Linked DNA regions of Caenorhabditis elegans. The protein of the gene in region 2 interacts with the protein of the main gene of each other region in a biochemical or structural test. Each region holds a gene or a part of one and is shown on either strand. Other genes may lie near its edges. The genes, in order: flp-3, npr-5, flp-21 and flp-18.

Region 1 (3,234 bases), on a different chromosome or scaffold from region 2:
TTCAGTTTCGGAAAACGATTCAATCCGCTGCCAGATTACGACTTCCAATAACTCCATCCTATCAATGATTCAATGCACGGTGAACCCCACTACTCAGCCAACATCATATTAGATATTCCAACATTTTCTTCCCATTCTCGTCCTATATTTTGATCCGTACTTTCAATGCAACAACATTTTTTAAACTATGTTTCCTATAACTTCGAATAAAGTGGTTGGGTTCCGCATGGAATAATAGCCCATCTGTTAACCAAGTCTTACGTTTTCTTCGCGAACAAAGGAAACGACTACTGGCACTGAATTTCAGATTTTAGCCAGATTAGGTCAGAAAACGAGGCACACTATTTTCAAGATCAAAATTTTAAAATTCAGTCTTGCTAGTTCTTCAAAGAATTGTTTCGGAAATGTCAATGAGTGCTCATAATTAAACATGTGGAGTGACTTTGGAAGGTGCTAGAATTTCCAAGAAGCTTTGATTTATTAGTTTTCGTTTTAATTTCAAAACACTGTTCAATCTTGAGAACAAGATTAGTTCAACCTACTTAATCATTTCTCGCGTTCTGACAAGTGACGTTTTTGACAAAAAATAATGTTTAATTATTCAAAAACAGAAAATCCCCCCTCCTTAAAGCTCAGTTCATTAATCAGCTTCGCTTCACAAATTCGACAAGGTGGCATCTCAACCAACAGGCACCAATCGGATTCTGTCATTTCTTTCTTTTTTGAGAACAAATGTCTATCTACGTTTTGAACTAACACCAGTCCCGGTTTAAATTTCGTACCTGACAATTATCAATCAAGACTTACATTTGACTAGCTGTGCACGCAAAGATTTAATAATTGGCGGTGGGCTGTGTGAGAGTTGATGTCACAAAGTTACAGTATCCCATCAAAAAAATGGGTTCGAGTCGTCATTCTCGTTATCCATCTAGGCTTGAATTATGATGTTGAACATCAAAATTTATAGGTTTTTCGAGAGATCCCACCTCTTCCGTTAACCGCCGCCCCGTTTCAACACAATTCTTTCAGTTTCAAATTATTAACCTGAACTTTGAAAACTACCACCTACGCTTCTTCTACTAATTTCGAGTGTCTTTTTAGACTCAATTATCTTATTTCTTTTCTTAGAGTATTCCAAAAATGTCACATGACGATGCATAAATTGAGGTGCCACCGTTTTTTAATAGAAACTCTGGCCGCAATAAAAGAGCAATAGCATTGTTACTTGGCAATTTGTTTGAAGGAGTGTTGGGCGGCGGTAGACGTCGTACGTCAAATCGTGCATTTTCGAAGTCTTTTCTCGACACAATAGTAATCGTTTGACCTGTGCATTGCAACATCAAGGGACCACTTACTTTTTAGAAACCCGCCCCTTTAAACCAAATTGCCAACGCCTCCAATTTTTACCTGACAATAGAATGTACCGAGTACTTATTAAACAAAGTTGTTCGCCAAAGCTCAGATTTTCAATAATTTTTGAGCACCGGATTTCAATTTTACTCGTTTCACATGAACATTTTTCTAACTGCACACAGTATTTACGCATTCCTGACCAAATTTCTAAAACCCCACACACCTCTTCCGGCATGACAACTGAACCGTTAAAATTGTTGAAATTAAGCTCATATAAAAACATGCAAATATCTCGGCGGTTCACAACCTCACTTCTACTTCTTCTTGACTAAATTTTCCGTAACTAATTGTTATATTTTAAGGTACCCCTTGTGTGTTAGCTCCCGCGTAACACCACCATAACCACCAATGATATCGCCCAATCACCTCATCCTGCTCTTCTGTGTGAATTGCGCGTTTTTGGTAGCGTCGGGTAGGAGAATAGAAATTATGTTTTTGAAATAGAATGAAAAGTATTTAGATGCCACACCAAAACGGTCTCCACTGGGAACAATGCGCTTTGGCAAACGAGCCATTGCTGATGAAATGACATTTGAGGAGGATGGATACTATCCGTCAAATGTAATGTGGAAGCGGTCTACTGTTGATTCTTCGGAGCCCGTCATTCGTGATCAGCGCACTCCATTGGGAACTATGCGTTTTGGAAAACGAAGTGCAGGTATTATACAAATAATTAATTTTCAAAAACTATACCCACCTGTTTCCAGAGCCATTCGGTACTATGCGTTTTGGAAAACGTAATCCTGAGAACGACACACCATTCGGAACAATGAGATTTGGAAAGCGTGCTAGTGAGGATGCTCTGTTTGGAACCATGCGTTTTGGAAAGAGAGAAGACGGTAATGCGCCATTTGGAACAATGAAATTTGGGAAACGTGAAGCAGGTATACAGTTCTGTACTAAAGTTTGATTTCACAATGTTATGCTTTTAGAAGAGCCACTTGGAACTATGCGCTTTGGAAAAAGATCAGCTGACGACAGTGCTCCATTTGGCACAATGCGCTTTGGCAAAAGAAACCCTCTTGGAACCATGCGCTTTGGAAAATAATTTCTATTTTCACTTTTCACGTTTATATTATTCTCGCTTCAACTAAGTTTTCATGTTCAACACCCCCGCAGCAGTGGCACTCTCTTTTAACATTATTTATCATTCTGGCTTCTAATTCATACCAAAATATACCGAAACGATTGCATAATTCTTGGGCTTTTGCAAAAAACTAAGGAAAAACGACTATTCCATAATACCCCCTTCTCTGTTCTTCTCATCAAGTGGTTTGCATAGATTGGAGAATAAATTAATGTTATTATTCACTTTGTTAAATTTTGTTGTTAGTTGTTCACGCTTGACCAAAATAGTTAGCTAGCAAACTGTAAGATTCTCAAATTTAGTCTTTGCTTTTGATGGAGAAATTCTCGAACACAATTTCATGGTTCGCTCGTCCGCTTTCATCATCCGATTGGCCAAAACTTCCGGTGTTTTCCCCTTTAGACACTTGAAAACAAATATGAATTCGAACATTTCAGATGTTTACAGAAGACCAACATGTGCCAACCAATGAATGCGTGGAAACTGCCGGCTTCTTAAAGAAGTTTACTCAGCCTACTCACAATAGAACTATCACTAAAGCACAGAGTCAAGGAAAAAAATATTATGGATGAACTGCAAATTAAAAATAAAACGCTGAATGTTCACAATAAACGCATATTTTCCCTTTTCTGCTTATTCGTTTTGTTCTTATTCTGAACAGTCATCGTTACTAGTTCACAATGTTATCTGTTGCTTCATTTTTTGTATATTAAAAATGGAGTTATAAAATGCAG
Region 2 (8,345 bases):
AACACTATAAGTCCATGTCTATCAGATTAAATTTCTGTTTTTACAAGCCGAATTTTCTGTAAAACAGACTATTATTTTTCACATTTTAGACAAAACAATAAACTCACGTAGTTTTGAAGATAGTTTTTCACTTAAACTTCACAATTTCCAATTTCGATGAAAAAAAAACAGTTTCAACCAAGAAAGGGGTGGAGTTTATTTTTGGAATTTTTTAAATGTAAATTCTTCTACAGAATTTAAATTTAGAAAAAAAAAATTTTATATGTTAACAAAATTGGGTTAAACAAATTATATGGTTAATTCTCTAAACATTTTTTTTCGATGTTCCAATTTCCCTTTAAAAATTGAAACATCTTTTGAATACACATATGGTAAACACTACTAAAGTAACCTGGAATTTTTCCATAAATGATTAACGGGAAACGGTAACTTTCAGGCTCTATTCAAAGTTTTAAAAAGTTTTTTTTAAGCAAAAATCATTATTATTTTTTATTTCTTCATAATTTTTGGATTCAAAAAGTTGAAATTTACCACTGTAAAAATTTTCATATAATTTTTTAACCGCACAACACTGGTAGGTAGGCACATTTAAAACACGCGCCTGTCTACCTGAAACTTTTCTAAAAAATTCCCATCTCACTGCTTCTTCTTATATCGTTATTCTTGCTCCTCAAACTCAACACCCCCCCCCCATTGAGCTCACCCATAAAAACCTTCTAAACTACCTGCCTACCTTCAAATTCCCACACCAGGTGATAGTCTTCTCGTAGTGTTCTCAAATTTCACTAGACATACTGCCGGCTCACGCAGTTTTTAAGAATCCTCCTTCTCCATCTCCACTCGCCGTAAAAACGTCAAAGATTATCGCATCTCCGCCCTATCTCCGTCCAATTGCTCTAATCTTGTTGAACCTTATTTCTCTCTCTCCTTTCTTCTCCATCTTTTTTTGCTCTAAAAGCCAAAAGTGTGCTCTGATAATCTTATCATATCATTTGCAGAATTTTAGACTCCAATACTTTATAAAATTTTGTTGTTTCATTAGTAAATGTTCTAAAAATACCTCGAAAAAACCCCGTCACTTAAATGGAATTGGAATTTTTTTGGCATTCGAAAAAATGTTTTAAAACTAAACTATCATTTTTGAACTTTACTTTAAACTTACAAATTTGTTATTAAAACAAAGCCTATAATTGTGGTAGGCAGGGAAGGCGCCTCAGGCAAGCCCAATTGCCTGATGCTTACCTGAAAAGTTAGGCCCAAGAAAAATTGGTAGTCAAAAATTGGTAGTCATATAATAATGATGCGAGTTTCCTGTGACCCCCTTTTACATATTTCATTCATCAAATTGCCATTGAACCAAACATTAGTCACACTTTATCCACCTTATCACGCTGAATACCTCCAAATTTTGGGTGAATTGTTAGAAGCTAGCTTTATTCCTAGGAGCCATGTGACTTTTTTCAAGCTTAAATTTTAAATAATTGATGTTTTTTAATAGGTCAAAAATGGACTGGTGATCGGTCAAGGGAGAGCTTTTCTTTATTTAATCTCTTTGTTATCTTTGTCAAATTTTTTTTGTGTGACGTACATATAATAATTTATTTTTACACTTTTTGTTGGAAGCCCATAGGTCAAAAACCAAGGATTTACTGGGAAGACTGAGACATTTAGATAATTTTTTTGATTTTTTAAAGGTTTTTTGTTTAGTCCTAAAATTATGGAGATTATTCTTTGTTTTTTGAACTACCTGGCACATTTTAAAGCGGGTTTCGAGATTGATTTATTTAACTTCATTAACATAACAATTTATGTAAAATTTGATTTTTTTTTTGAAAATCTAAAAAAAAGAATCTAAAAATATAAAAATTTTACTTCCCGAACAATAGCTCAAAATTTTTACCATTTTTCTTTTTTTTAGAAGAAATTTCCTTTTTTTTTTCATCGACTGAAATTTGATAGAAAATTGGATTTTATGATTAATTTCCAGAACACGCTTTTCGATTTTCCCATTTTAGAAAAAAACATTTTTCGATTTTCGAATTTAAAAAATTTAAAAACTCTAAAATTTTCAACGATATTTTTATTTTATGGATTTTATGCATGTAATTTTCTTCAAAACGTTTTTATGTGATTTTGACTTTTTTGAATTTTTTTTTTCAAATCCTTTTATCGATTATATTACCCCTCTGAAAGATTCTCTCTTTAATATCAAATTTTCAATTCCAGAACCTTCGATGCATGGTTAGTTCGGCGGCCACCATTTCGACCATTTCAACCACAACGACTCCCTCCACCATCAGCAACGTTATCACAAGTCATTCGAACAATGGCTCGTGCATTCAGATCGCTGAGGCGATTGCGGCACAAGGCATCGATGATATTACTGTGTAAGTTTTGGGTATCCTGGATGGATTTTCTAACTTATAATTTCCAAAAAAACCTGTCAACTTTTCTCACCACAAAAATCACAATTTCCGTCATAGTTCAACGATCTCATCTTTTTCACCCAAAACCGCTCGAGAGACTTGTCCTCAAACATTTCAACTTTTGACATGTGGCTGACGAGTGACATGGAAAAGTGCTCTCTTTCTCATTTTCCTTGGAGAAAAATCAATTGGCAAATTTTTGTTATCATTATCAGTGTGAGAAAAGTTGTTGAGAACTAGGGTGGAGAGAGATAGATGATACAGTTGTTGTGACATCCGACAGCTGTGTGCTCTTGACATTTTTTTCAAATGTTCTTGAGCTGGAAGCATCCATGAAAATTAAATGGGGACATTAAACTGGCGATCGCAGGGAAACAAAAAGAGAAAGTTTGAATACCTTAGATAACTTAGCAGCCGACATTTCAAGGGTATGTCTAACGTCGTTGCTCTTCTAGATTTAGCAGCCGACATATTACTGTAATGAACGACGTCCCTCCTCTGTCACACTAAAGCTGTAAGAAAGTGACGTGGAACATGACCGAGAGATGTCTGCCGCACTGTGTGGTCACTTCCTTTGACAAGTAGCGGTAGACACCTCGCGGGCATGATTGGCGTAACTTTTTCTGCCACGTGTAGCACCCGACACCTTACGGTTTGTATGACGTCATTTTTTTGTCTCACGTGCCGGCCATACTCAAAGTCCTACCCTCTCCTCCCCTACACTCAAAAAATCAAATTTTTGCAGAGACTTTTACATCCGATCAATCTTCACATTCCTCTACGGGTTCCTGTTTGTATTAGGCATTTTTGGAAACGGCGGCGTACTATGGGCGGTGGCGAGAAACAAGCGGCTCCAATCGGCTCGCAACGTATTTCTGCTCAACTTGATCTTCACCGATTTGATATTGGTGTTCACAGCGATTCCAGTCACACCATGGTATGGATTTTTGTGAAAATTTTGAGGGAAATTGTTTAATTTTTATAACCTAAACTTTTACTGCAATGAAAATTGAGTAATTTTCAAAAAAAATTGTTAAAATTTTTGAGCAAGTTTTTTTAGGTGAATATCTCCTGTAGAATATGTTATGAATTTTTTCTTTCAAAAAATTCCCATTTTCCAGGTACGCGATGACCAAAGACTGGGCATTCGGGTCAGTGATGTGCCATTTAGTTCCTTTGTCAAATTCGTGTTCGGTGTTTGTGACGAGTTGGAGCCTCACTGCAATCTCCTTAGATAAATTTCTGCATATCAACGATCCCACCAAACAACCAGTTTCTGTAAGTTTTTTTCGAAATGTGCTAGATATTTCTGAAGCTTCATGAATATTCTGAAATGAGCTAGAAATTTCTGGATAGTTCTGGAATTTTATTGTAGTTTTTAAATTTTTTTTGGATATTATTGAATTTTTCTAAAATTCCTTGAATTTTCTGCAAGTTTTCAAATCTTTCTGGAAGACTCGAGAATTTTTTCTGAAGTGTTCTAGAAATTTCTGTACTACTTCAGACTTTTTTTTTGGAAAGGTTATACATTTTTTATTGTTTTAGAATTATCGGGAAGCTTTCAGAATTTTTTGAGTTTTCTGCAACGCTTTAAAAATTTCTGGACATTAAATTTTTTTTTGAGATTCCCATAATTTTCTAGAAATTCCTTGAGTTTTCTGGGATGTTTTATAATTTTCTACAAGGTTTTAGAATTTTCTGACAGGTTCTGTAATTTTTTTGAATGTTTTAGAAATTTCTTGAAGCTTCTTAAATTTTTTGGAAGGCTGTTAACATTTCAGGAATGTCCAAGAGGTTTTTGTTTAAATTTTCTAATCTTGAAGTTTTTGGATTTGTCCAAAAAATCTAGGAAATTCTGGATAGTTTTAAATTTTTCCGGTTAAAACTCATTTTTAAAATTAAAAAAAAAAACCATTTTCGAATTTCATTTTCTTTCCAGATTCGTCAAGCGTTGGCAATAACATTTCTTATCTGGATAGTCTCAACACTGATAAATCTACCGTATCTTATGTCTTTCGAGCACGTCGATGGAAGCTTTTACGTTCAGCCCGGAGAAACTCCATACTGCGGGCACTTTTGCGACGAGGCGAATTGGCAGAGCGAAAATAGTCGAAAGATTTACGGAACTACGGTTATGTTGTTACAGGTGAGCAAAAACACGCTGACCTAACAACCATAAAAATTTTGCAAACCTAAATTTTTAAAACTTTTGAAATTTTCCTACATACGTCCAAATTTGCAGTTCGTCGTGCCGATGGCAGTGATCACGTATTGCTACTTCAAAATCTTGCAAAAAGTGTCAAAAGACATGATCATCCAAAATGCTCAATTCTGTCAATCACTGACACAAAAGCAGAGAAGTGATGCGACGTCACGAAAGAAGAAAGTGAATTATATTCTAATTGCAATGGTTGTCACATTTATCGGGTGTTGGTTGCCTTTAACATTACTCAATTTGGTCAAAGATTTTAGTGAGTTTTTATTTGTTTTTTGGAAAAAAAAATCGTAGTCAACTGTTTTGAAAACGCTAACTATAATTGACAACATTTTCTGCTCAATTTTGTTTTTGACTGTCTTATATTAAAATTAACTTATTAAAGGTTGAATACGGCCCAAATGACTGAAAACTATTACTAAAATGACCAAAAATTATATATAAATTTTTAAAAAAAGTTTGAAAAGTTGTTTAGCTCAACTCGAAATGTCTCAAAAATTCCGAAATTTGTAAAAATTGGTAAAAATTTACACCTTCGCTGAAAATGAGCCATTTTTTCCAAAAATAATCGCCCAAACTTTTTTTTTGAGAAATTTTCAAAACGCCTCACTACAAAATTTGGTAATTTTGGGCCATTTTTGGTCTGAAAAACGAAATCTCTTCTCAGCACAGCACGTTCAATTAGTCGTAACATGGGCTCTTAAATTGAAAAAGGTCAAAATGTATAGTTTGTAAAAATGAGCAAAATGTGGTTAGTTTATAATTTGGTGAAAATTTATGCTGCTCAATCCAAGTCGGTGTAATGTTACGAAAAGGAAGCCTACATAAAAAGCTTCTGCCTGTGGTAGGTCTATGTAGAATTCCTGCTGTAATTCCTAGTGTGAGCGATTAAAATGTTCGAAAAAATATTTGCCGTAGTTTTCGAAACTTATGTTCAAAATCACTACACATTGAAACCAAAATTTTCAGAAAAAGAGCCCGAATGGCTAAAACGTCAGCCGTTCTTCTGGGCAATAAATGCTCACGTCATAGCCATGTCCTTAGTCGTCTGGAACCCTCTGCTATTCTTTTGGCTGACACGAAAACAAAAACGTTCCGGACTGTCAAAAATACTCAACTCAACAGAGGTGAGTATTGTAAACTTCTTCAAGTCCCCTTGTATAAAGTTTGCTCCTAGCCGTGTGCTCCTGGTGTTCTTCCCGTTTTCCACTGCTTCCTTTGTGTCCCCCCTCTCTTCCTCTGAGCCGCCTTTTGTTTTCAGATTGTGTCCTCGTTTGCCAGTAGAGTGAGTAACTCGATTCGGCGGTCAACGTTTCGGAGAAACAATATTGACAGGTACAGGTTCTCTTCTAACTTTTAAAAAACTCTCTAATCCTCTAACTGCTTGACTTTTCTCGAAAAAATTCTGTTTCCTGGTCTTTTGTACGTTGTTCAAGCTTGATATGGGGTACACATCTCCTCTTTGCGATGGGGCGCGTCTGCCGCGCAGTGCCGTCATGGGTCGTGTACTACTCGTGGACTTTGGAAATTTTTTGGAAATTTTTTCGGGTTTAATTCTAGTTGGCAGAGGCTGGACCAATCGCCGTTAAATTTGCAAGTTTTGAGTTTTTGAATTTATTAAATGCTCTAAATAACAGAGAAAAGCGAGCCATACAAATTTATAGCTAACAAACAGAAAAAATGTTGATTTTCCCGTTTAAATGCGCTTTTTTCAATCCGATAATGCAAGTGCGCTCTACCGAACAAATTAGTGCGCCATGATATCAGTTAGTTGAGCGTAATTTCGAGACTCGATTTGCATGAACCACATAGTCTACTTCCGCCGCAACCGACATTTTCTGGGTTTTGCTAATCCTACAGCAAACCCGGGGGGGGGGGGGTGTCCGCCGCTTCACTAAATACCTTCATATCTTTGAAAATTGTATTTTGCAGGGTTCGAAAAAAGCAGGTGGTTCTGGATTGCGAGGGATCCAGCTACACGACCTCCTCCCGACCTCTACTCATTCGGACAGATGTGCAGGCAACTCTTTCTAATGGCTCGACGAGTACTACCCGCGAGATGCTGTAAATTCTATACGTTACTCCCCTGTGTTCATCTTGCCCGTCTCTCGAAAAATTCCATTATCTTTATTTTCTGTTCATTTTTTGCATAACGAAACGTGCGATTAATCCGGGTCCAGTTCGCTCCGCTTTTTCTCCTCCTAAGACAGCAACCCCACAAAAATCTAATTGCCTTTTTTGTATTTTCTTTGTTTTCTTTTCTTGTTTTTTTTTGTGTCAAAATAGCGTCACCTAATAAAGATGCACGCAAAGAAAAATGGGATTATACAACAGGGAAACGTCTTGAAAATGCACACCGAGCAAGAGGCAAATATTTCTGTGTCTACGAAAATGTAGGGGTGATAAGAGTCCTGAATCACAATTTTAGCAGCACTCGACACTAACCGAGTTCCGGTATTCATCAGATCACCAAACAGCTAAATAGAGGAACCCGGCAGATGTAACAAAAACAAAAATAAGTTTTTTGCATTACTAAACAAATTCAAAAAAATATAAATACAAAAACAACAATTTAAACGCAGAGTATCATTTTCCGGGAATTTCCTTTGAGAGATCAAATATCATGAAAACAATTATCTACTAATTTACTAAAAATTTTAAATTTCTTTCATTTTTATCCGAGAAATTTATCTTCACGAAAAATACTTATTTTAAAAAAACGTACTGTATTGCTCCTACCGTACCATTATTGGCTGTAAAAACGCAACTTTAAATCCAAACAAAATATGTGAATTTCAATTCTTTCAGAAAAAAATATAACAGATTTTTTAAAAATTATTTTTAAAAATTCGACTAAAAAATCGTAGCAATTTTTTTTCAATTACGATAGAATTTCTTTCTGCCAAACTTTTTAAAAATGTGGATTTTGTGAGAAATTTGCTACACGTTTCAACATAACAAGACTATAAAAAGTGTAGAAAAAACACTTTTTTGGTCGACTTTCAAAATTATGACAAAGTTTTTACCACTTTTTGCCTATTTTATTTCATTTTAATTCAGCTACTAATGATAGTACCGAAACATTGTTAAATACAACGAAAAGTAGAGTAGTGTCCGTGGTTTTATTTTCCTAATGGACAGAACACAGTCCAAATATGCCAAAATGTCACTTTTCAAAAGTTATAGAATTTTTCAAAATTTTTTAAATGATTTTTTCAATTTTGCAAAAAAAAAAACGGTGAATTCTTTTTGTATTCTCGTCTAAATAAATGACAGCGTTTTCATGTTTTTTGTTTTATTATTTTAAACATAGTTTGTCAATTTTTCAGACATTTTTCCGTGAAAAAAATTTTTAAATGTTAAATTATCGATTTTTAGGCCAATTTCATAGTTTCATAAAGTTTATGTTCTATTACCAAATTTAATTTATATTAGAATGACGGAAAAATAGGCTAAGATATTTCGAATTTATTGTTGCAAAATTGAAAAAATCATTTAAAAAATTTAGAAAAATTAAAAAAAAAACATTTTCTCATACTGTTTTCCAAACCACATTTTCCAAAAAACAAAATGTTCTCAATATTTACATGGCCTACTCAAACAATTTCCACCTGCCTTTCCTAACTCGTCGTTCCCCTTTCCAGGATTCACCTAGCGTTCCGTACCCTTTATTATTCCCTTTTTTACTTGAAAATCATGAGACA
Region 3 (4,508 bases), 7.5 Mb from region 2:
ATAAACGTTCTGAACCTGGTCCAAATTTTTGTCCATTTGTTCTAGGACAACTTTTATTATATTTGCGTAAAATTTCTGCGCTATGCCCAGTGTAGCAAAATTTTGGAAACTCGGTTTTCCAATTTAACATTGTAAGCATTTTTTTAAAACAAATTTCGAATTAAATTTTGGCAAACTACACGAGCTGGCTATTTGTATATTGTTAGATCCGAGGGTGGACGGCAAAGGGCGATTTCGGCAAAAATTTTCCGCTGCCTTACTTTTTTTTAGAAATACCGTAACCTTAAGTTTGGCCTATAACTTTCATGGTAGGCAGGTACGCTTTCATGTCTATGTACCTTTCTCTTGTCCGAATGTCTGTGTTTGCCGCAGTAGAATTTTTTTTTGAAAATCATTTTAGGTTCACAAAAAAACCGGAAATATGTAAACGCAGTCACCTATTTCTTGATAGTTACGTCGTAAGAAATTACTCTCGTAAATTGTACGGAACTTTGATCACTCGTCTGTCTTATTACTGTGGAGTCTATGACATTTCTGTCTGAACGCTGTTTCGTAAATAATAAAATGACAAATTAATAGCTTAAGCTCTGATTTTAAGCCAAAGCCTTCTTATCCTGGAATTTTATTCTAATTTTCAGTCTTCGATATCATTCCTCGAAAAATCACAAATACATATGGTGATGTGAATACTCGTCTGTAATTGTTAGGTGGCCACTTCGTAAAATGCTGATATTTCCAAAACCAAAATATAAGAGATCTTGGAGAAAACGCGTCAAAAACCAGCATTTGACGTGTACCTCTACAAATTCTTTCACCTGCCAAATGTTAAATTTGATCTACTGACCCACTAAAACACTACTTTTTTTGTTACCAATGACAATTTTTATGCGACTTTGACATTTGGACAGGGAAAAGTTTTTCCATTCTTTAGTTTGAAACCGAGTCCAAAAATTACAAAATTTTCAAGTTTTTATGCCTCGCTAAACTCTCTAAAGAAGTTTAACTTTGAAAGTCAATGAGCCAACGAAAATTTGTTTCCTCTTCTTCGATGATGACGAAATGTGCCCCGAAGTAACTCGATAATCGTGGAAATCTCTACTTTTTTCGGCTCATAAAGCTTCTTTATTTCTTTTTTTGGTTTTCATCGAAAACTTATCGTATCAAAAACTACCAACTTTTTTGAATATTTGTAAGACTACATTTTCTCATCACTTTTACCCTCCACCTCATCGTTCATCACATTTATCTTACTCCCACTTGCTCTTCACATCACTTTTGTGGGTATATCAATTGGTTGGTGTTTTTTATGTGTTTGTGAATGTTTTGGGGAAGGCTGTGCAAAAATATCAGAAAAAAGAAGAACCTACATGCATTTTGAGGTGGTCTTCATTGTGACTGTTCCTCATTTGGTTGAGATGTCTGCGAATATTAAAAATCTTAAAGACTTTTTTGACCAAAACAATGTGGTATTAAAGGGGAAAAGAAAGAAGAACGTATGTCAACAGTTTTCCTAGTTCAGTCCTAGATTTTTTTTTCAAATCAACTGTCACATTTTTAAAAGGTTAGATGTGTTGTGGAAATCTCTACTTTTCAATTAAAGTTTAATAACTTTTGGCTGTATCAAATACGTGCATTGAAACTCAACTGTTCTCACCTTAAAGTTTTCTGATGCGTTTACAGTCGGGACCAACTACTTACACTGAAACATGTTTATCTTAATTAAGCGGAGCACACTTCCTTTTATTCAAAAAACCTCATAATGCACAAGACGCTGTTTGCTTTCTTTCAAGACCGTAATTAGACAAAGTCATCGAGCAGTAGATTTTTCAAGTCAGCTATTTTCTTTATTCCAAAAACTGCATATTTGTAATACTCATGAATTTTTCATATTTTATGGTTACTCAAAATCTACACGTCTTTATTACAATCTCTCGTTGAATTATCGCGTAAAATTACATCTTCCAAAATAGGACCATTGTTGTTTTCAAGTCATAGCATATTTTAACGCGATTTCCGGCCACCTCAACTATGCTCTGCAACGAGTATGACGTGCCCAATAAATATTGGGCTATCCTGTTTTCCCACCACATACACCCTCCTCATAGTTCCCAGAAAAAACTTTTACCGGAATCACGTATACATATAACATCATCTTACCTGAAAAAACATTTCGATGTATCATTTGCCTAGGTTCTAGGATGGGTGGTTGCTCTTGGAGCAAAGGTCATTTTTGTGAGTAGTCCAGTAGATTTGGAAGGGGATACACTGAAATATTCATTTCTTGTTTCAAAGCTACCGTAGTGATCACTTCCGTCTTACTATTTATCTCAAAACTTCTTTTTTTCCACCCCATCCCATCATGCTTCGCAAGAATCTCATTAACAAATGCAAATTTACAACGATGACTATGTACACTATTTAAGATTTGATTGTGTATTCAACGTTTGATCTCCCACCCTCTCATTGCTCCAAAATCCAAAAAGTCATTTTCAGACGATGCGGCTGTTCATCTTGCTTTCGTGTCTTCTCGCGTGGGTCCTCGCAGCGCCTTATATCGATCAGGAAGATGCGCTCCGCGTTTGTAAGTTTTGTCAAAGTTAAAGATTTAGATTAATCATTAATCTTTTTCAGTGAACGCATATTTGGAGCAATTCGGACCCGGCAGTGACAGAGTTTACTATGTTGCCGAAGACGATCATGGGTAGGTCCAGTTTAATTATTTTCTGATAGACATCTTTATTAAGTCAAGTCTTACTGTAGAATAAGTTGCAAATCGCTATAATTAATAATTTACCGAAATACGAGCATTCAGCTAGAATAAATTAGTTGCGATTCAGAAAAAAGTAAACTAATTTTAAAATTTCAGATCAATGAAACGTGGTCTCGGTCCTCGTCCTCTCCGATTTGGATAAACGGTTGCTGCTCGAACGAACGAACAACATGACACAACATTTTCTCTCTTTCCTCTCAATGTAACTTTATACAAAAATGATGTTCCAGACACTCCACAATTCCAATTCCGAAGAAATATCTATCCTCTCCTTTTCTCTTTGAAAACGCTGCAGAAACAATGTTCTTTTTACTCTCTCTCTCTTTTTCTATCTCACTTCCTCTTTTTCTGTTGAACAAATAAAAACAGCTTTCAGTTTGACATTTGACTTTTTATTAAGTTTATGAGTGCCCTTATATTTAAGAATTTTCCAATTGTGCAATTGTACCCTGCAACTGTAATGGTAGAATCCGGGAAAATCAGTCAGGATTACATTAATGAAACAGTTGGTGTCTTCCCTGCAGGGGTTGAACAAACATTATGGATACTGTTTCAAGGATCGTAGTTGCCGTAATAAATCCATTGAGGCGTCTATCTCTTGAATTTCTAACATAATGTGCCGACTATATAGTAATAAAGCTCCTGAAATTGAGTTTTGGGTGCCAATTTTGTAGTTTTGTGGAAAGTGTAATGATCGTTGAATTTTGGTTTTTGATGATTTTTAAGAACATTTTCCGAGAAATTTCGTATGGCAATTAATACATGGAAAAAATCAGTCCTAGGGATTTTATTCACAATAAAACCGAGAATTCCCTAGAATTGAAGATAAAGTAGTACTTATACATAGTTTCCTACCAAAGCCGAGCCGATTGCAAAAGTTTCGAAAAAATAAAATATCCAATTCGGTTTATGATTACCGCGAAAACAGAAAATAACATATTTTGAGCAAAAATTCTAGTGTTTTTCAACAATACATTTTAACGTTAAATTCTTAGTTTGGTCAATTCAGCATTCGGGGCCACAAACTCCTGCTTCGATCTCTGCACAAATTTCTGTTATCCCTAAAAAATTATCACATTATTTTCAGCCTTATTCATTTTTAGTTAACTCAATATTCGTAAATTACGTAATAGATATTGTCGTTTTAGGATCTCGTTGTACATTAATCTCATCCAAACAAAGAAAATGAGCTTTAAAAGCTCTAAAAACGAGTAAACAAGGTATTCATCAGACAAATGGTTCAAATCGCAATAAGCTTTTTTCTATTTAAAAAAATATAGGTAAAGACCAAAATACAGGACCTTTCAGATTAATTATATTTTTAAGCTTATTTTCAAAATCTAAAACCAAAAATAAATATTTTAAAAATATTGAAATTGAGTGGGCGTGGGAATCTGGAAAGTTAAATATTTAATTCAAAACACAAACGTCTAGAAATATGAGACGAACTACTTGGACTTTGGCCAATATTCAAGAGTTCTTTGGTGTGATTTTTAAACATTATTTATAGAAGAGATTTGTCTATAAGTGGCTAAATACTGCTATAACAATTTTTCTAAAAATATTTCTGCCCAAAAAATTGTATTTCTACTTCTGTGATAAGTTGCATCATTTTTATAAATTTTCTACAAATTCAATTGTTCAATTTTGTGATTTTTTATGAGTTTTTTTAGAGTCAATTTTCAAATTTACCCTTATCTCAAAGCTAGAGGTTCAAATATTTCTCTTTATGTTTATC
Region 4 (5,665 bases), on a different chromosome or scaffold from region 2:
TCACTCGTTTTTTCTTCGAATTTGTCAAATGAATGGAAAAATTAGAAGACGCTTGCACGCAGTCTCGAAATTGTAACGGATCTATTGGATGGCTTCAACAAAGAAATCTTCCATACCAACGCACGTTCCTCTCAAACTATGACATGTGCTCATTTACTGTCACTCTGCCCGGATCGGTGAGTATGCCTCTAATCTTTGGCATTTATATTATAACAGTTTTTGTAACCAAATTATGATTATGTGTTTTGCTCTTAAAGGTCAAATATATTAGCAGAGTGCATGCATTCATTCATAAAAACTCGATAAGTTAATAATGTGCGTTTTAGAACGAAGGATGGACGTTGGTTAAATGAAAAGAAATGGAGCTGTGAATCATGTACGAAAATGATCGATATTGCTATCAAAGTGAGAAATTAATTTTTTTTGTGAAAAAGAGGCAATAGTAAAATGTAAATTTTATAGCTATTATCTTCATCGGTCAACACATCATCAACGCATTTCTCCCCCAATTCCTCTGTCCGGACCAACGTAAAGAGTGTTTATCACACACACACACAACAACGACCGTACTCTCATCATCATGGCGCTACGCACATTGGCCTAATCTTCAGTCTTCAACACCGCCGCACGGGCCCGACGGCCAATTAAATGGATGCGTCAAATGTTGTGATTCAAGGTTTTTTCCTTTAATCACCCCTAATAAGTTAATTGATTAAGAATTTTTTGTTAGTCCTATCAGTACCTCATGGGTTGGATACCACTCCGAAACATACGGTACTTAAAATTATTGTTAATGAACGTAGTGAAAAGTGAAGCCATAATTAAGTAGAAAACTTGTTGACTTTGTTGACTTGCTTACAATTAATTTTAATATTGATGCTCTCTCTGAAATGAAAGAAAAATTGTACAGTACTAGATTCATCAGTGTATTGGGAAAAGCAGTTTGAAAAAATCTTCATGATCCCAGATTCAATTAATCAAATCTGAAACTTGAAAGAGAATTAAGGACGGAAATTACCTGTGCACATGAAGTTGGTTATTTGATAATTCAAAAAACTTTTCTGCGTTTCAAATTTTTTGGAATCATTTTGATACACATGCTTCAAATTTTCAGCAGCTTCATGAATAGACTCATTTCACACTGGGTTCTGTTTAGACTTATCTAATCTGATAACTGACATAACACAAAGCATACTTTTTCATCGTTTGAAAGCTCAATGAATCAATTCCTAAAATGCACAGAGTTGGAGGTAATTATTCTTTTCAACACACGTCAACCATGAACAAATCTGCTTTTCAACATTGTTCAGAAAACAATTGATAGACACACAACTACATTACTCAAAAATTAGACGAACTGTGTTTGACGTAACAGGAAATGATTCATTTAATCGTATGGAGCTCTAGAATTGACAACGTTTAGTATCATTGTTGAAAAGAGACAAAAACTTAATATTAAGTGATTGAAATGAGACGCTCGGAAGAAAAGAAGAAAAACAACGAGATCATCGAATTGTCGCTGGCACATTTTACATTCACATTCATCTGAAACTTGATACATGTCAGACTGGCAAAATCTTATTTAGAAACTTACAATTTACTTCCGTCCGAATCGGAGAACACCTGGCACACTTTTCTTGAGCAAAACCCCTGCGTAATGCTCTTCCAAGTCGGATCGCTTTCCAAATCTGAAAACAAAAACCTTGGTAAGCTGGATGAAGTCTTAAAATGATCGGACCTCAATACACCGGGAACATCGCGTTTTCCGAAACGGAGAACTCCGGGCACTTCACTGCGCTTGTCGAACGAATCAGCCATGTAATCTCTCTTTCCGAATCTCAACACTCCTGGGATCTCCCGTTTGTCCATTGGCACATCACGTTTTCCGAAACGAAGAACGCCTAAAAACTGAGATGTTATTTGATTTAGAATAGATGATGATGCCACCTGGAACACTTTTCTTCTCATCGAAATATGAGCGTTTCCCGAAGCGAAGAACTCCTGAAAGTCAATTTTCAGTATGCAATAAACCAACAAGGAACTACTTACCTGGAACACTTTTCTTCTCGTCAAAATATGCACGTTTACCGAAACGGAGCACTCCCGGCATTTCTTTTTTCTGCACACTGCTTTCTCTTTTTTCCCAAACACCTCCACGTTTTCCAAAGCGCAACACACCTGGCATCGCCCCATCAAAGTCTGAAATTAGACAAAAAATTGATGGTTAGTTGTACGAAGAATTTTGTACCTCTTTTTGAGAATACCCGACCGTCTTGTTTCTCGTTGGTCCGAGTCACTTCGATATCCTCTGCTGGTATGTCTTCTTCGACGATTTCATAGACTGAAAATATAAGTTGTTTCAATGTGCCGTCTTGTATTTAGGGCTGCCATATCGGACGTCCGGCGTCCGACAATTTCCGAGTTGAGCCACTCATTATAAAATTATATGATTATGTATAGTGAGTGGTCAAACTCGGAAGTTATCGGACGCCGTGAAAAACTACCCCTTGGAAAAAAAAGTTTGCGCCCCTATCGGACGCTAAGCGTCCAAATTCCTCCTAATTGCAGTTATGTATGTGTTTCGATCGACCTTACGAGAATTTTCAAAAATTTCAAATTCATGCTTTCAAATCGACACAATTCAATTGTGCACCCCTGTTGAAAAAAGAAACGAAAAAAAACACGTTTCTTGTTGATTGAAATCGTCGAAATACATCACTTTGGCAGAACGACAGCGTCATTTTACTTGGCTTCCCGCGTTGGTCTAGATGGGTACAGAGCACCATCGAACGAAACATGTCCCAACGGGCCCCGACAAGAAAGAATAAAAAACTCAGCATCCAACTCAACACTATCTTTCCACAATATCCATAGGCGCCCCCTTTTTTTCCCGCTACATCTTGTTTTCATCCAAGCGTTTTTCCTTCCAAAAATACATTGGGCCACTCTAGATTATAGAAAGTTTGAAGGTCAGTGGAAACACTTTTCAATAAGACAATAACACCAAGTCTAGAGATTCACGGACCGTGGGAAGCAGCGAAGATTATTCATAGGTCTCACTGGAAAATGAATATCACAGAAGCTTATAAAAACTAATGAAGTTTCAATACGGATGCGATGTTTGAACACCGCGCAAAATTATTTCAGCTAACTACGTCAGGTCCAGAATTTTGAAAAAAAACTAATGTACGCGAAACCAACGTTTCGACAAACTACAAAGTTAAAAATTTTAAAATAAAATTCAAGATTACATTAAGACAAATTATTGCCGTCATTTTATTCAATCTTCCACGCTGATCTGGGGCTATCCAAACTCCCTTCAAACCCAATTAAGAGATTGGATCAGCCAAGACTTTTCTTTGTTTCGTTCATCAAGAACTTACTTGGTTCGGTATATGCGAGCGCCCCACGAAGCAAACAACACAGCGAAATGAGAAGAACGCCCGACCACCGTTGCATGTCTAACCCTGAAATTATTATTTTTAGTTGTTAAAGCAATCGTTATTGTAGTTAAATAATAAACGTCTTGATGCCAATAATATGAAATATGAGAGTATTAAGCTTCTAGCCTCTTTCCTCAAGAACGACATCCCATCAAATGACACTCGCTAAAAAGTAAACGAACATTTTTAGGAAGATACGAAGAAGGAAGAAGTCACACCAGATCCTGGATTCCCCGCCTTTTCTCGTTACCGTAGAAGGTGAAGCAATGAAAAGTGACACGCTGACATCTTGACGTGGCTCATGGGTCGAGGGGAAGAAGCTGAGGAACTCGGGGTGTGTGGTTTTGCGGAAACGCGTGTACAAGGTATTCGAAACACCCCCCCCCCTTATTTGAAAATAGTGTCATCGGTGAGTGGCACATTTATCTAATGAGATTTCACTCATGTCACTTCCTAGGCGGGAAATTCAAAAGTTCGAAAACAAATCGAAATTTTGAATTACTAAATGTGAGAGAATGATGGCGTATTTTTTTGTTTAATATTTGATCTAAGAAGAAGTAACTTGAATAGACATAACTTTCGATCTTTGGAAGGAATTTTAAGGCTTGGGAGGAAGATTTTTCATTCAAAAAAAAACATAATTGATCAGCCCGTTCAGACACAAAAAAGACTATTTTGAAAATTGAGAAACACGGTAAGCTGAAAATTTAAAAACTTCTTTGGTTTCAGTCCTATTTATATGAGGGGTGGGATCTATTCGAACGGACCATTGAGTTGAGGCTCCGCCCCTCCTAAGAAACAACGACGTCATTTCTTTTTTCATGGTGGAAAAAAGCACTGATGTAGAGAATAGTTGAAGAAAGTTAGAGTTGTAGAGAAATAAGAAAAAAAGACACAATACAATTGAATAAATCGGGTGGGACCAGTAAGAACTTCAATTGTGCGGAGTTTATCTGCACAGGTTGTGGCGCAGCTAACGAAAAGAAGATTATCTTTTTTTTCCTAAATTCTCAGCGCACGTAACACACACGTCGTGTCATCGTCGAATCTCATTTCGGGGGTAGATTTCAAATAGATTGGCTGGTTTCCACTCAATTTAAAGAGGGTCAAGCCCACGCGTTGATTGAGGGAAGACTACAACATCTACTTGAGCTGAGTCAAATAACACGAACCCGCCAAAACACAACTACAACACACGCTACCTTTGAAGATGATCTATGAATATTCATAGAGTAAGCTTGGAAAAAAATCAGTGCAAAAATCTATTCCGCCCAGGTCATTATATTGTAATTCAATTGATCTACTAACACTTATTGGCAAAATTAGCTTTGGGCTTGTATCTGATCATTTTACAAAATAGAACATTCGGCTCATAAAAAGTAAGATTAAAGAAAGTTAGAAAATAAAGGTTCCGTCTCAGAAGTGAACTTGAACTGAGAAGTAGTAATAGTGTATATTAAACTGCAAAAGGTGGCATTGAAAATCATAACAATAGGTTCAAGCTTTATTTTCATGTTTTCGTGACCCTATTCCGGCTAAGCTGGGATATTTATAGAGACTGGTTAATATTCAGTAAAAAGTTGTAAGTTTTACTTTTTCATGACCATGTGGGCTTTCAATTAGCCATGTCTTAATTAACTTCATAAGAACGACGGAGTTTCATGCATCTTTCTAAACATACGAAATGTGAGATTAATTTATTCGCAGTGTGACAAACTTTAAAATTATTGTTAATTTCAGGCACTAATAAAGAATTTTAAAAATTCATTAAAAACATCAAAATCAAAAAACAGTCCGGAATTTTTTTAAAAAAATCTCACTTTGAAATTTATCTTTTTGAGATAACCTGTGAGTTTTTAGAACAATGCAGAAGTTTGCAGTTAAATTTTGGTTTTAAAAAATTGAGAAAAGTAAACGTGAAACGACGCAGAAATTTGTGTTCAGTCAAGAGCACAATTTTTTAAGAAGTTAGTTAGAACAATATATGTTCGACAAAAATACTACAACTATATTGTAAAAATAGAAATTCATTTGGTGATGTGATGACTGTCAGGAAATGAGTCGAAGCGTGATGTAGGATTTTTGTGATGTGGAAAACAAGGAAATTTAAGAAGGATACTGGAACAAACTGACAGGAAGTTCATCATTTTTTCAGATGTCTTATTTTTGTTTATAAGGTTTTTTTTGTGAAAAGCAAGAGTCCAAGATTTGAGTGAAGAAGA

Evidence for each region.
Region 1: of the proteins of npr-5 (region 2) and flp-3, one has a biochemical effect on the other in vitro, tested with the Caenorhabditis elegans proteins (one study listed by BioGRID).
Region 3: of the proteins of npr-5 (region 2) and flp-21, one has a biochemical effect on the other in vitro, tested with the Caenorhabditis elegans proteins (2 studies listed by BioGRID).
Region 4: of the proteins of npr-5 (region 2) and flp-18, one has a biochemical effect on the other in vitro, tested with the Caenorhabditis elegans proteins (4 studies listed by BioGRID, with this or other methods).

What each region holds. Positions count from the first base shown.
Region 1 is NC_003284.9:10,091,446-10,094,679, reverse strand, and holds flp-3 (TPLGTMRF-amide), read left to right. Parts: upstream 1-1,715; 5' UTR 1,716-1,761; coding exon 1,762-1,825; intron 1,826-1,873; coding exon 1,874-2,071; intron 2,072-2,120; coding exon 2,121-2,297; intron 2,298-2,345; coding exon 2,346-2,461; 3' UTR 2,462-2,734; downstream 2,735-3,234. Other genes in the region: flp-2 (SPREPIRF-amide), read left to right, coding at 6-51. UniProt on the Caenorhabditis elegans protein: FMRFamides and FMRFamide-like peptides are neuropeptides. SAEPFGTMRF-amide inhibits the activity of dissected pharyngeal myogenic muscle system.
Region 2 is NC_003283.11:275,598-283,942, reverse strand, and holds npr-5 (G-protein coupled receptors family 1 profile domain-containing protein), read left to right. Parts: upstream 1-2,226; 5' UTR 2,227-2,238; coding exon 2,239-2,387; intron 2,388-3,171; coding exon 3,172-3,363; intron 3,364-3,547; coding exon 3,548-3,704; intron 3,705-4,365; coding exon 4,366-4,572; intron 4,573-4,668; coding exon 4,669-4,897; intron 4,898-5,610; coding exon 5,611-5,768; intron 5,769-5,902; coding exon 5,903-5,976; intron 5,977-6,573; coding exon 6,574-6,709; 3' UTR 6,710-6,957; downstream 6,958-8,345.
Region 3 is NC_003283.11:7,790,874-7,795,381, forward strand, and holds flp-21 (GLGPRPLRF-amide), read left to right. Parts: upstream 1-2,493; 5' UTR 2,494-2,496; coding exon 2,497-2,581; intron 2,582-2,631; coding exon 2,632-2,701; intron 2,702-2,866; coding exon 2,867-2,912; 3' UTR 2,913-3,152; downstream 3,153-4,508. UniProt on the Caenorhabditis elegans protein: FMRFamide-like neuropeptide. Involved in modulating locomotion quiescence during the sleep-like state called lethargus which occurs during molting between larval and adult stages, acting via the G-protein coupled receptor npr-1.
Region 4 is NC_003284.9:3,010,820-3,016,484, forward strand, and holds flp-18 (SVPGVLRF-amide 3), read right to left. Parts: upstream 3,468-5,665; 5' UTR 3,460-3,467; coding exon 3,384-3,459; intron 2,342-3,383; coding exon 2,249-2,341; intron 2,200-2,248; coding exon 2,050-2,199; intron 2,002-2,049; coding exon 1,948-2,001; intron 1,902-1,947; coding exon 1,739-1,901; intron 1,689-1,738; coding exon 1,598-1,688; 3' UTR 1,595-1,597; intron 1,546-1,594; 3' UTR 1,371-1,545; downstream 1-1,370. UniProt on the Caenorhabditis elegans protein: FMRFamide-like neuropeptides. Ligand to G-protein coupled receptor npr-1. Involved in modulating locomotion quiescence during the sleep-like state called lethargus which occurs during molting between larval and adult stages, acting via npr-1.